Linked DNA regions of Drosophila melanogaster. The protein of the gene in region 1 interacts with the protein of each later gene in a pairwise test. Each region holds a gene or a part of one and is shown on either strand. Other genes may lie near its edges.

What was found.
Region 2: the proteins of e (region 1) and CG8611 interact in a two-hybrid assay, tested with the Drosophila melanogaster proteins (one large-scale study listed by BioGRID).

Annotation. Positions count from the first base shown.
Region 1 is NT_033777.3:21,230,951-21,239,153, forward strand, and holds the start of e (ebony), read right to left. Parts: upstream 6,228-8,203; 5' UTR 5,945-6,227; intron 2,084-5,944; 5' UTR 2,068-2,083; coding exon 960-2,067; intron 894-959; coding exon 726-893; intron 639-725; coding exon 1-638. UniProt on the Drosophila melanogaster protein: Nonribosomal peptide synthase which is required for the regulation of histamine and dopamine levels in various tissues through their condensation with beta-alanine.
Region 2 is NC_004354.4:17,419,126-17,423,941, reverse strand, and holds the start of CG8611 (uncharacterized protein), read left to right. Parts: upstream 1-1,796; 5' UTR 1,797-1,899; coding exon 1,900-1,959; intron 1,960-2,018; coding exon 2,019-4,006; intron 4,007-4,066; coding exon 4,067-4,494; intron 4,495-4,816. Other genes in the region: ENGase (Endo-beta-N-acetylglucosaminidase), read right to left, coding at 86-317; CG12994 (uncharacterized protein), read left to right, coding at 816-870, 938-1,086; CG46464 (uncharacterized protein), read left to right, coding at 1,144-1,299. UniProt on the Drosophila melanogaster protein: Probable ATP-dependent RNA helicase.

The DNA.
Region 1 (8,203 bases):
ATTCTTGGCCGCAATGAATTCGGAAATGCCGATGTTGTAGCCCTTCTCGCGCAGCAGCGTCACCGTGAAAATGGAATTCAACGAGTTGCCGCCCAGCTCATAGAAGTTACTGTGCGGAGCGAGGGTTGCTCTGGTGGAGCGTCCAATCACGCCGCCCACTGTCTCGAAGAGATCCCGTGCCGTTAGCTTTAGATCCTCAGGAACCTGCGAGTAGTCAAAGTCCAGAACGATACTGGAGTCACCTTCGTTGTTATTGGCCGTCTCATAGGTTTTGAGCAGCGCCTGGCGATCCACCTTGCCGTTGACCAGCAATGGAACGTGCTCCAGGATGACCACCTGCGGCGTCATGTAATCGGCTAGCTTGTCCTTGAGACGAGCCTCCATCTGCATCTCGGTGACCATGGGGGCATCATCGCGCAGCTTGACGAAGGCCAGAATAGCCTGATCCACCTGACCAGCATGGTAGCACAGAACAATGGCCTTATCCACCAGCGGCAGCTCGGCCACGTTCTTCTCCACTTCGGACAGGTCGACGCGATGTCCACGGATCTTCACCTGAGAGTCGGTGCGTCCCTCGTACATGATGCTGCCGTTCTTCAGGGATCCATAGTCTCCAGTGCGATACAAACGGGCGTATTCTGGAGAGGTAAAGTCGGATTAAGTAATAATAACTAACTTGAATGCATTTTGAAATGTATTCAGAAGATATCAGATGGACAACTTACTCTTCTCCACAGCTAAAGGATTCTCCAAGAACCTCTCCGGATCGCGTCCGTTAACATAACCAGCGGCCAAGTTGAGACCCGAAGCAAAGATCTCCCCAATCTCGCCGTTCTTCACCGGACGATAGTCGGCATCCAACAAATAGACCACGGTATTCGACAGTGGAATGCCTTCAGGATAAGAGATCATGGGTTATACACGACATGGAAATTTTAGAACCCGAGTTTAAGGCTCACCTATGGGCACATTATCGTACAAACTCAGTTGCTTCTTGCTCTCGCACGCAAAGTAGGTGACATCGCCCAATACCTCCGTGGATCCGTAAAAGTTGTACAGCCGGTGCACGCCCTCATCGAAATAGTCGAAGAAGCTGCTGGCCAGGGAAACGGATAGGGGTTCTCCGGAGCAGACCCAAATCTGGAGATTGTACAGCAGTTTCTGAGCAGCTCCGCCTCCCTCCATCTTCAGATACATGAGCAACGAGCGCAGAAGGGTGGGCACCAGTACGAGACGCCTGATCTTATAACGCTCCAACAGGGCCACCAATCGCTGGGGATCCTTGGTCACTGCCTTGGGCACCACCAGAATGGCCAGGCCACACATTAACGGGCCCCATAGCTCCGCAATCGAGTCCACGAAGGTTAGGGCCGTCTTGAAAACGCTCACCGCCTCGTTGGCGGTGTACGGAAAGGTCGCCCACTGCCACTGGAGCCGATTGAGGATGCTCTCGTGCGGCAGACGCACTCCCTTGGGCACACCCGTACTGCCCGAGGTGTAGAGCACGATGGCGATGTGGTCGTTGCCACCGCGCAGCATCTCCTCTGAGAGCAGATTGGAGCCGGCCAGCTGGAGGGATTTGGCATACAGTTCGGTGGTGGATAACGTGGGAGTTCCCTGGAAACGGCCGGCGTCGATGTCATCGTCGCGAATCACCAAGGTGGGCTTCGCCTCCAGCAGTATGTGGTGAATGCGGTTCGCCGGGAAGCTGGGATCGATGGGCAAATACGCGCCGCCAGCCTTCCAGATGGCCAGCAGTGTGGTGACCAATCCCTCCGACGGCTGCATGCACACAGCCACGATGAAGTCACCATCGCTGTTTGGCTGCAGGAACCGGCCGTGGGTCTCGGCCACCAGGAGGCGGGCTGCCCGGTTCGCACGCTCGTTCATCTGGCGGTAGCTGCTCTGACTGGGCGCCATTCCCTGGCCCGTAGTGCTGGGCTGATAGATCAGAGCCACCTTGTCGGCATGCCGCAGCTGCTGCTCCTCGAAGATGCGGTGCAGAGCTCTAGGCACGAAGTCTTGCTGCAGACCCTTGACGATCGACAATTGTGGCAGCGAACCCATCTTGAAGATATATTAACTGTGGGGAATACTTTGTTAGTTTTGGGCTTAGAATCTCAGTCGGAGAATCCCTAGGTTACATCATCATTCCCAGCTCGTATTATGCAATGCAGGCTAATGCCTTGCTGCCTTGCGGTAGCAATTAAATTCATTCATACATGCATATTTATAACACTTCGTGTTAATGGAGCGCTCGCACAATAAACTATTATAATGAATGAGTATGAATATGGGAGCTGGCTTAAACGGATGGCTTCTGTTGAGCTATATTTATTCAATTAAATTGCTGTCTCTTAAGCTGCAGAGATTGCAAGTTCAAGTAAACTGGAATTCGATATTCCATGTTAATGACTTGATAATTAAGGGTTTCAGGGTAATACGATTTTATTAATGTTTTATTATTTATATCAGTACTTAAGAATAGCCTTATGGAAATAGTTGGAATTCTTATTTCTCGCTAAATGGCGTGGAGTATAAAGACTCATTCATTTTATTTTCAGTAATAGTTAAGTTAGTTTTTCTTCTTTGCGACTAAACGCTTAGCAACAGGCACATGTTATTTTAAATTATGGCGACATTTTTATCTATTCGCTTAGCACCATATTTTTCCCTAACCTATCAGTCATACTTTCATTACAGGTTTGTCTAATAGGAGACTAGAGAGCTCCTTAACTTTAGTAAATATTACTTAATGCATTAGCATAGCCACCTGCTTGTCGTTACTAATTACGGTCAGTTTAATCTATGTGGGCTTACACTATGAATTGAGATGTGTTCCGGCTTTGAAAATCCACGTTTACATTGCCAGGTATTTATTCCTAAAAAAATGTGCCTTAAAAATAAAAATAATAATTTTCGAGTTTTGAATAACCTAGCTCCATAAAATGCCTCATCTTGAAGGAGTTACGCTGGCTCAACTGTTGTATCTCGGACATTGGACTTGGCCAAAAGCCTAAACAAGCGCTCGGAATGCGGCATGCTAACTCGTTAATTGCATGGAGCTAGCCAATTGCCAGAGGCACCAGTCGCTGTCCCATTTTACGTGACGCCATAAAACGCTGGCGAAGATTGGTGGAGGTCTTTGTGCTGCTCATGCTCGTTAAGTTCCATTGGCGTGTTATAAAACTCAGCAAAAATGTCATTGCGCCGACCACTTCTGGTCTACTACCTGTATCTGATTCTGCCCGGCTCCAATGTCAAGCGCTCTAATCCAAAACATGAAGACAAGCTGCCGTCTGGAGGCCCAAGAACGACAATTACCCGTGCCATACCCCTGGCCTTAGCAAATGTTAATCTCTGATTTGGTTTGAAAATTTGATTTCATTAGATTTGAGGCCTCGTTGAATGACTTCGATCGGGGAAGTGGAGCAGTTGAGCGGGCGTTGGCGCTGGGAAAGGCAAGGTAGTCAGGAAGCTTCTTTGGGGCAGTGCGCTATGAATTATTTATTTGCTTCCGCTTCTTCTCCAGCCGAGGAGGAAATGTTGTGGAAGTTTAAGTGAAGGGTGGATGTCGAGGTGGAGATGGTTGTGGTAGCTTGTTGTAACCATCGCGGCTGGGGAGCTCGAAACAAGTTATACTTCAATTGCGCAACTTTAGAGCTGAAAATGCGCCGCCTGGCTTCTGGGTCTGGTTTTCGGACTTGCTTGGTTCTGATTCTCGACTGGCATACATTTTTTTGGCAGCCAAGCAATTTACAACGGTTTACGGGGCGTATACGTAACGAATTCAAGGCTAGTCTTAAATCATTTCCCAAGCGCCCATTACGTATGCGCCGTGTGAGTCCAATTAGTTTGTTCACTTGCATAGACAACCTGCACTATGTTTGCCCACTATATATGTATAGTACTACATGTGTATTTATTTGAGCATATATAGTATGCAAGCTAGTACTATACTATCTGCATACAATGCTGACGCAGTCCATTGTTTTGGTCCCGCCACTCGAGTGCATTCTTGAGCCCCTTTGGTTCTTGGCATTTCACATCATCGATTAAATGCATCCAGCGACTTCTGTTCTGTTCACCTTCGCTGCTTCTGTTGATGAGGTGAAATCCATGCGGCTGCTTTAGTGTTATTACTTTTGCCCCTATTGCCATTAAATCAACGAAAACAAACCAAATAGCCAGCATTAAAACCTAGTAGCAGCGCAATCGAAAAGCATTTAAGACCGCCGCAGTACGACGAGTGCTGCTAATAATTTTCCGACCAAGGTTGCATTTGCGTTAGATCGTTTTCAGTTGGGCTTGGAGGTTCTGGCGCTTTTGGAAAATCGTTCCATAATTATCAGCCTGCCATGTAATCTGTAATTTACATAATTATTGGCCGGGTTGAAAGACCGTTTGCCAGTGGCTGTGTTGGCTGTTGCACTTGGCGGATCAACAACATTGCCTAAGGTCGCGTGGTTTATCTAGTATCGCAAATGTTTCCGCTGGTAGTAATTCCGAAGAGTGTGGCTAATTAATTTGTCGAACCGCAGTGGGAGGCGGTCGTTGGAATCAAAACACAACAGGGCTCTATGCTGAAGTCCACTACTGTTCATTGATTGAATGTATTATTATGTCTTTTTTCTGCCGGCACTGATTTGCCTAATTGAGTAAAAAGCGTCTAATTTAAGCGGTGCTGCGGTGCCCCACCATTGCATCTGCACGGCTTTGTTGGGGGTCGTCCCGGTGAGTGTGATCTGTTTTTTTGTCTGTGCTGGGTTTTTTTCTCTGTTTTCCCCACCGCCGCTGCCGTTTTCCGCAGTATTTCCGATTGTGAGTCAATTGGATGACAAGCTCGTATTGTACGAGTATTTGGAAAAGAACAAAACCGCACTCAAGACCAGCAAACGGTCAAAACTAACGATCTCGGCCAAGTGCCTTACGTCAATGGGGGAATCAGTTGGCGAGCTCATTAACGAGCCAAGTTCAAGTCGGCGAATGCAAATTGTGCACCATAAAAAGCACTTGTAAACGATATGCGACACTCGTTTAGCACATACTTAACATAATTAATAGCCGATCGCTTTGGCCAATGACTCAATTGCAATTATAAATCCATCACTGCTGGCTACCGTCAATAAGTATACGCCGCGTTGGCCGCTCTTAATAACAAGCGTTTTACTAAGCGCTCCAAGACAAATTAAATGTCATTTGCTGGTTACTTATGCCAGCCTTTAGTATGTCGATGGTGGTTTGTAGTCAGGCGCTAAACGCTGAGAAAACAATTTGGTATTCTGAGAAAAGAAGGTCTTAAGTCCGAGTTTAAGAGCTTCGTTAATCACTGAACTAATGCAATGCCTCTTCTGACCTCGCCGCGCCTCGAATTCTGGTTGCCTTTTGCATTTGGAGTGCATTCCCAAGGAACGAGCCGTTAGGCGAATCCAGTTTCCTTCTTGAGTTTAGAACTCGTTTACTTCCTCAAAACGATTTCGTTAGAAAAACTGGTCTTCTAATCGCGCCTTTCAAATCGAAGTATTAGAAATCCTGCTACTTAAAAAACTTTAGTTTGGAACTAACAACGATTTGAGGACTTCCTTAAAGTCATAATTGTTTGGCCATTGTGACAACGAAAACCTTAGCCCACAAAAATGTCGACGTCGAGTGAAGCGAGGTGAAAACAATTTGTTGAATCCATTAATTTATGCTTGAAACTAATTACATTTTTCGTCGTTCTGCTTTTTTGTAATATTCTCAGCTTAATGAATTTTATGTAATTTCTGTCGGATGTGAAGTAAGTTTCGTTATATACGAAGGAACTTAATTCGGCCATTAAATAACGCGAGAAATATTTTGTTAACTGCTCCTCAGCATGCATGTCAAGTCAATTTGCACATTAATTTCGGGAAAGCGAGTTTGCCGAATCTAAATAAATACTTGATAATCACGTAATACGTACCGTGGGTAATAACAAATTCTGACACTGGATTTTTTGAACAGGTTCTTGATTTCCTTTTTCAAATGTTTATCTGTGGCCGTTTCACACTAAGCACGTTTTTCTTGAATTTGATTTTCCTTCTATATTTTCAACTATGAGAGAGTGAGTCTACCAGCTTTAAACTTCTTTTTCTGGTCACTTCACTTAGCGTTTCACTTTGATTTTGGGGGGCACCCAAAAAACTTGCAACGCACTCGGGAAACTCAACGTGCTATGTACTTGTAAACGGCGCTCGCAGACTAATCAGAATCCCAGCCCCCGACTATCTTATATATCCGACCGATCCGCCGCTGCCGCAGTCGCCGCCGGCAGCGCAGTCGCATTCGGCTGGCGAAGAATGACTGAAAAAAAAAAACCAGTTCCTGCTCTTACAGCCCCTGCAATTACCGCTCGCAGCATACCACACATACCCATATGCGGGCGCTCAGTGTGTGGACGCCGGATTAGCATTGGTACCGCTTTACTTGGCTCGCCATTTTTTAGCGGACCGCCGAGCGGTGACGTAGGAAATGAAATGGAATGAAATGAAATTCCCCGCCGTCCCCTCACTCACTAATTGGCAGGCGAATTGTACACTTTGATTACTACTTTTCTGCCAACCAGACCATTTGGAAATCCCTCGAGTGACACACACAGCTCACAGCGGATTGGGGAAGGTGAGATGGCCACTGCTTACGCGTAGGTGGAAAGATGATTTAAATTAGTCCTCCTTTTAAGCAGGAGCTAACAAACAATACTAGTAATTAAGTGATATGGTAGTACTTTTAGGGAAATCTAGGAAAAAGTGCGTCCCTCTTAGCTATACAATGAAACTGAAACTGAGAATTATTATGTATTAGTATTGATAAAGTTTATTAAGGTATGTAAATATTTAAAATTCTGAAGCAAATGTTGGATTTAAGTGCACAGCCTATATTATTTCCGCACTATTCGGATTTTACTATTCCACATGAACTGGTATTAGAATTTAATAGCTAGCAAAGCTTCTAAAAATGGTCGAGTTTATGGCCAAGAGTAGTGGCTATTGTAGCATTAACTTCGCAATTGTTAGTAGTAGGTTGTTAGTACTCGTGCGAAAGTAAAATCGCATTAAAATTGGAATTTCAAATCGATCGAGGATCGCAGTCGCTGCAATTTGTAGTTGTCAGTTGGGCAGATCGGTGTTCATACATATCAGTGGATTTGTGAGAGGGATTGCATTTGCTAACATATGCCAGCCGTCATGTTGTGCTTCCCATTACGAAGTCAGTGTGAAAATTTGCAGTTAAGGCGCTTGTCCCCTGACTTTTAGTGCAATCATTACTCAATAACTATGTATCTACTGCCTTCGAATGCAGTCGAACTTGATGCACAGTCGGAATCAATTGGACTTCATAACTACTTTGTAGGAAAGTCTGAAGTTGATCATTGTTTGCAGTGCCAAGGTTAATCAGTTGATTGATTTAATACTTAAAGAAAGCCCTGGCACAATCAAACACTAATGTTCGATCCAATTAATCGATTTTTAATTAGCGAATCATGAGTGTTTCGTACAAGAATCAACGCCAGTAAATCCAAATTGCGATGCGGGCTAACACTTTGGAGCTGTCGATTGCCATCATTACCATTTGCATTTTTATCAATTTGATTTTAATAGCAGAAATATGACAGACTGACCAATTCAGCAATTACTTTGTGAGTTCAAGAATTAAGAACTGATTTTTCATTGTAAATGGAAATAATTATTAATAGTAATAACAATCTGTGTAATAGTCAGGAGATTTGTAATCAATTAAATTTTATTTTTATTTGAACAAGTAAATCATTAAAAGCGCTAATAAAATAAGTTGCTTTCATAAAAATAATTGTCGGCAATTGAACAACTTCAACGCTTGTTGCATTCACTGTTGATTGACCATAAAAATTGCGGATTTTCCTATTCTAAGCGTTCAATAAAAAGTAGTAACTTCCTTCGTTCAATTGCTGTGCTAATTTGGAATTCTGCATTTTAAGCGACTGAAAGGCGTGCTGAGCATAATTAATGAGTTTGGGGGACTTTTGCTGGATGGAAATAAAAAGGATTCACACGAGAATTGGGCCACAACCATAAGCTGGTTTAATATCAGTTTTTAAGTACGTGAATCACTGACAAAATGTTATCTCACCAGTCTGCTGCTGATAAAGTGATCTACCATAACTCGTAATCAACTGATCAACCGAAAGCTAATTGATTTGCATGAA
Region 2 (4,816 bases), on another chromosome or scaffold:
CAATAAAATGAAAGTTCACTTTTCCCTAAAAAACAAATAGTGCAATAGAGACTGATATATGTGTCAGAGAAAGAGATGGACTTACAGCATCTACAGGTGTTCTTGTCTTGGCACTTTTCGCGTTGCACTGTCTCTTTCTCGCATGCTACCTCCTTAAGCTCACCCCCTCCCTCTTCAGTTCTCTTCTTCTTCACGGGAACAACTTCTTCTTCTTCTTCGGTGGTAATGCCGGTGATTTTGTCATTTTCGCTCGCTTTATCATTGTTTTCCATCACTTTGCTGATGCTTGCCAGTTCCTTAGACTCCAAACTATCCATCTTACAATTTCCAACAATTAATTTTGACCTGAAACTCCACAAATAAGCAACAATCAAATCGTCGAAAACTAATATGTTTATTTACTTAAAAACAGCTGACAGCAGTGCTCTTTCTCTTTCTCAGCAGTGATGTAAAACGGGCAGAGCAGTGCTGCAAAACACTACAGCCCGCGCAAATTTGAATGGCACTCAAAACGCGACAAAATATCAACTTCAGCAATGATTTTACTCTAATTTTGTTTTCTCTTCGCTAATTTCAGGTCCTGCTGGCGCCACCGAAAGACCTTGAGAAGCGAAGAGTGCGCCTGCACACATAAATTCCAATTAAACAAGGGCAAAGAAATTGAAGAACAGAAGGAGAAACCCAATAAAATATCCCAACCAGCTGCAATAGCAACAAATAGCCCGTTGAAACTTTGCTGGCCAGCGAGCCAAGTAGCCAAACATAAATAAAGGGCGCGCACATTTATTTATTACTTGACCCGAACTTTTCGCAAAATGCCAGCGGGTCGAGTGGCTGGCAAGGCCGGCTACTCCAATCACTACTACAATGGTGGGTTCTGTATGTGGATTATTCCCCTAACATTGATTTATTGTATGTTATGTTATGTTTTCTCCAGGACGCTCCTATGTGGGCATCAACGAGGAGATCATGTGGGTAAGCATCGGCATGGGCGTGACCATAGTGCTCCTGATCACGATCGCCTTGTGCTACATTGCGCGCGAGAAGTGCCAGAAGAGGCAGCGGGAGTACTACGTGACCGCATAGTTGTTGTACGCGGCCTGCCAAACGACGGAGCAGCAGGGGCATACCCGGGATGAGGTCATGGGCATGGAGGAGGGAGCTGGCAAATCGCAGAGCGCTGTCGGGGTTCCTGAGGCCAGTCCCGGGGGAGTATCACCATCGCCAGCAGGATCACAGGCAGCCGTCACCGTCATGCATTGGTCTGTGGTCGACATCTGTGCCCGCAGCTGGGGCTGACATGCCCACATGGATGTGAAAAACGAAGGAGAGCAGACACCCACGTATGTAAACCACCAGGGCCACCCAGCCGCCAGACCACAGAACCACCAGCCCATTCCACCCAGCACCACCCACCAAAAACCACAATTACTACGGAACCCCATGCGCTTCGCTGCCCAAGGCAGTTGAATGCGTGAAACTATTTTTTTTTTTTTTTGTTGGTCGTCGTCAAATGTCGCGTGCGAAACTCGTTGTAAGCATATTATATTTAGAGAAAGTTACTTTAAAATACAAACATGTTACTGAATTTGCCAAATACGAAATATATTAATATACAATATTAAATATAACGGGCTCTTGTGTTTTGCCAAATTCAACTAAAGATGTTTAAACGATATATTGTGCAATTTGAATTTAGCGCTTATGCTTCTTTTTTTCCTCATCTGGCAGCGCTATGTGCTTTTCTATGGGTAGCACTGGCGCGCTAACAGATGTAACCATACCTTTTCGCTGTGAGTGGCAAACGAAGAAGAAGAGCCACGCACGTTTTATTCAATTCGTTATTATTTACAAAAGTTTCGCGATTCTTCTTTGGTTGCGAGCATCAATTGTGCCAAAATGGTGGAAAATATATCACTGAATGTTACTGTAAAGTCGTCGGCTCGGAAAAATCAACAGGTTAGTGGCTATGTCTATGTTATTCAAGTGGTGTTTATATATTGTATATTTGATTTCAGCAGTCGCCCGCGCTTTCGGTTAAAAAACGTGCACAGAAATCCCAGGATTTCGACTTTCAATTCAATGTGGACAAGCCCAAAGTCAAGGCAATCGTTGTGCGAAGAAGGGCGCCTCCTTCGAAAGTTGAACCTACAAATTCATCAGTTCCCAATACCACGAAATCGCCGACGCCTTCAGTTTCCTCCAGCAAATCCGCAATTTCCACTCTTTCAGCATCCCCCAAAGCAAATGCATCCAACGATGATCTTATGTTCAATGTTAGCCCAACGAAACCACCTGTTAAGAGCGTTTTAGGCGACGATTTCATGCTAAATGTGACCACAAAGCCGGTGGTTGCCCAGAAAGCCAAGCCAAAAATCACACGAGCCGAAAGATTGGGCAAGAAACAGAGGCAGGGCAAGCCACTGACGAAGCTCAGCGAAGAGCAGATCACGCGGGCGCTGAAGAGCAACAAAAAGCCAAAAAATCCAAATCAATTACCCACGCCCGGTGACCTTTTCCGCGCTCAACTGGAGGAGGAGAGGCGGCAAAAGCGTCGTGAAGAGGGAGGAGGGGATCAGGAAGCCAGCGCCGATGAGGAGGATGCGAAGAACAACTCAGGAGGGGGATCTCCGAGGGTAAAACCGAGTTCAGCCGTTAAGGAGTCCAAAAAGTCATCAGATATTGAGGATTCCGGCGAATCCGGCGAAGAATCTGCAACATCCGATGAGGAACCAGATGAATCCAGTGCACAATCTCCTGGACAAGAAAAGGAACCCAAACAAACCGCGAAGAAACCACCGAAAGCCGAGGAAACCTCGTCCACAAACCGTTTTCGCACCAAGAAGATCGGCCTCTTCGACCAAAGCGACGTGGAGGCACTCAAGCAACTGGGCCAAAGAGCGGTGAAGCCCGTCAAGGAGACCATCTTTACAGGCTCTAAAATATCCACGTTGGGACTGCATCCTCATGCTGTAAAGAACTTGGAGGATCTGCTTAGCATTCGAGAGCTAACTAGCGTGCAGCAGAAGACCATTCCCGAAGTTCTCCAGGGCAAGGATGTGCTCGTACGTTCGCAGACGGGCTCGGGAAAGACCCTGGCATATGCTCTACCCTTGGTGGAACTGTTGCAGAAACAGCAGCCACGGATACAGCGAAAGGATGGCGTGCTGGCCCTGGTGATTGTACCCACCAGGGAGCTGGTGATGCAGACATACGAACTCATCCAGAAGCTGGTCAAGCCGTACACATGGATAGTGCCCGGTTCTTTGCTGGGTGGCGAGAGCAGGAAAAGCGAAAAGGCCAGGCTAAGAAAGGGCATCAACATACTGATAGGCACACCTGGTCGTCTGGTGGATCACCTGCTGCACACGGCCTCCTTCAAGCTGACCAAACTGCAGTTCCTCATACTGGACGAAGCAGATCGCCTGCTGGAGCTGGGCTACGAACGCGATGTCAAGCAGTTGGTGGAGGCCATTGACAAGCAGCGTGCGGAGTGCGAGGACAAGGAGCTTCCCCAGCTGCAAAGGATGCTGCTGAGTGCCACTTTGACTTCGCAGGTCCAACAGCTGGCCGGTTTGACCCTCAAGAATCCCCTGTACATAGACAACAGCGACGAGGCGGCGAGTGCGGCGCTGAAGAGCAAGGATGGCTACCAAAAGGAGACCATAGAAGCCTTGCTAGAGGTGGACGACGGACTGGGCGAGTACCAGGAGGATGTGACGGGTGTGCTGAGTATTCCCGAGAACCTGCAGCTCAGCTATGTGGTGGTGCCGCCAAAACTACGTCTGGTGGCACTGTCTTCGCTGCTGGCCAAGGAAGTGGACGCCAGTCCCAAGCAGTTCAAGGCGATTGTGTTCATGAGCACCACGGAGATGGTGAACTTCCATCACGACATGCTCAACGAGGCGTTGACCAGGCGAGTTCTCGACGAGGAGGACGAGCAGGAGAAAGGTGATTCGGATGACGACGGCGACATACCTTTACTGCAGGGTCTGCGCTTCTTCAAGTGAGTTGCTTTGATGTTTTGTAATGAATTGCACCTCCTAAGTGCTTGTTTCTTCCACAGACTACATGGCTCCATGACGCAGACGGAACGGCAGGGCGTTTTTCGTGGCTTCCGCGATTGCGCCAGCTGCGTCCTGCTGGCCACCGATGTGGTGGGTCGTGGCATCGATGTTCCCGACATAAAACTGGTGGTGCAGTACACGCCGCCGCAAACCACCGCCGATTTTGTTCACCGCGTGGGTCGAACGGCTCGAGCGGGCCGAAAGGGCAGAGCCGTGCTCTTCCTGACGCCCAGCGAGGCCCAGTTCGTGCGGCATCTGGAGAAGAAGCGCATCCGCATCCAGCAGGGCGACATGTACGCCTACCTGCAGACCCTGCTGCCCAAGGACGATGAGGCCAGGACGGTGCAGGAGGCGGCCTCCAATCTGCAGCACAAGTTCCAGACGCTGCTCGAGGATGATCGCGAACTACACGACAAGTCCTGCAAAGGTAGGTTCCTCTATTACGGCTGCACTCCTGCTATAATACGTCTTTCACTTGAATTGCTTTTGAAAGCTGTGCATTTCTAATGTATCTGAGTATAGAATGTTTATCTTTTGAGTCGCTTTAACTGATTTTCCCTTCGTTAATGCTGACTGCAATCAATACCAATTAATCGTACCATTACCACAAGCAGGCTGTCGGATTTTTCGTATTCAGAATATACGGAGAACCCCTACGTATCCTGTGGCATTGGACGAGTTCCCATGGCACTTACTTTTCCAATTGCCCCAACTCCGATATCCCTGGACAAACTAGCAATTTAATCCTT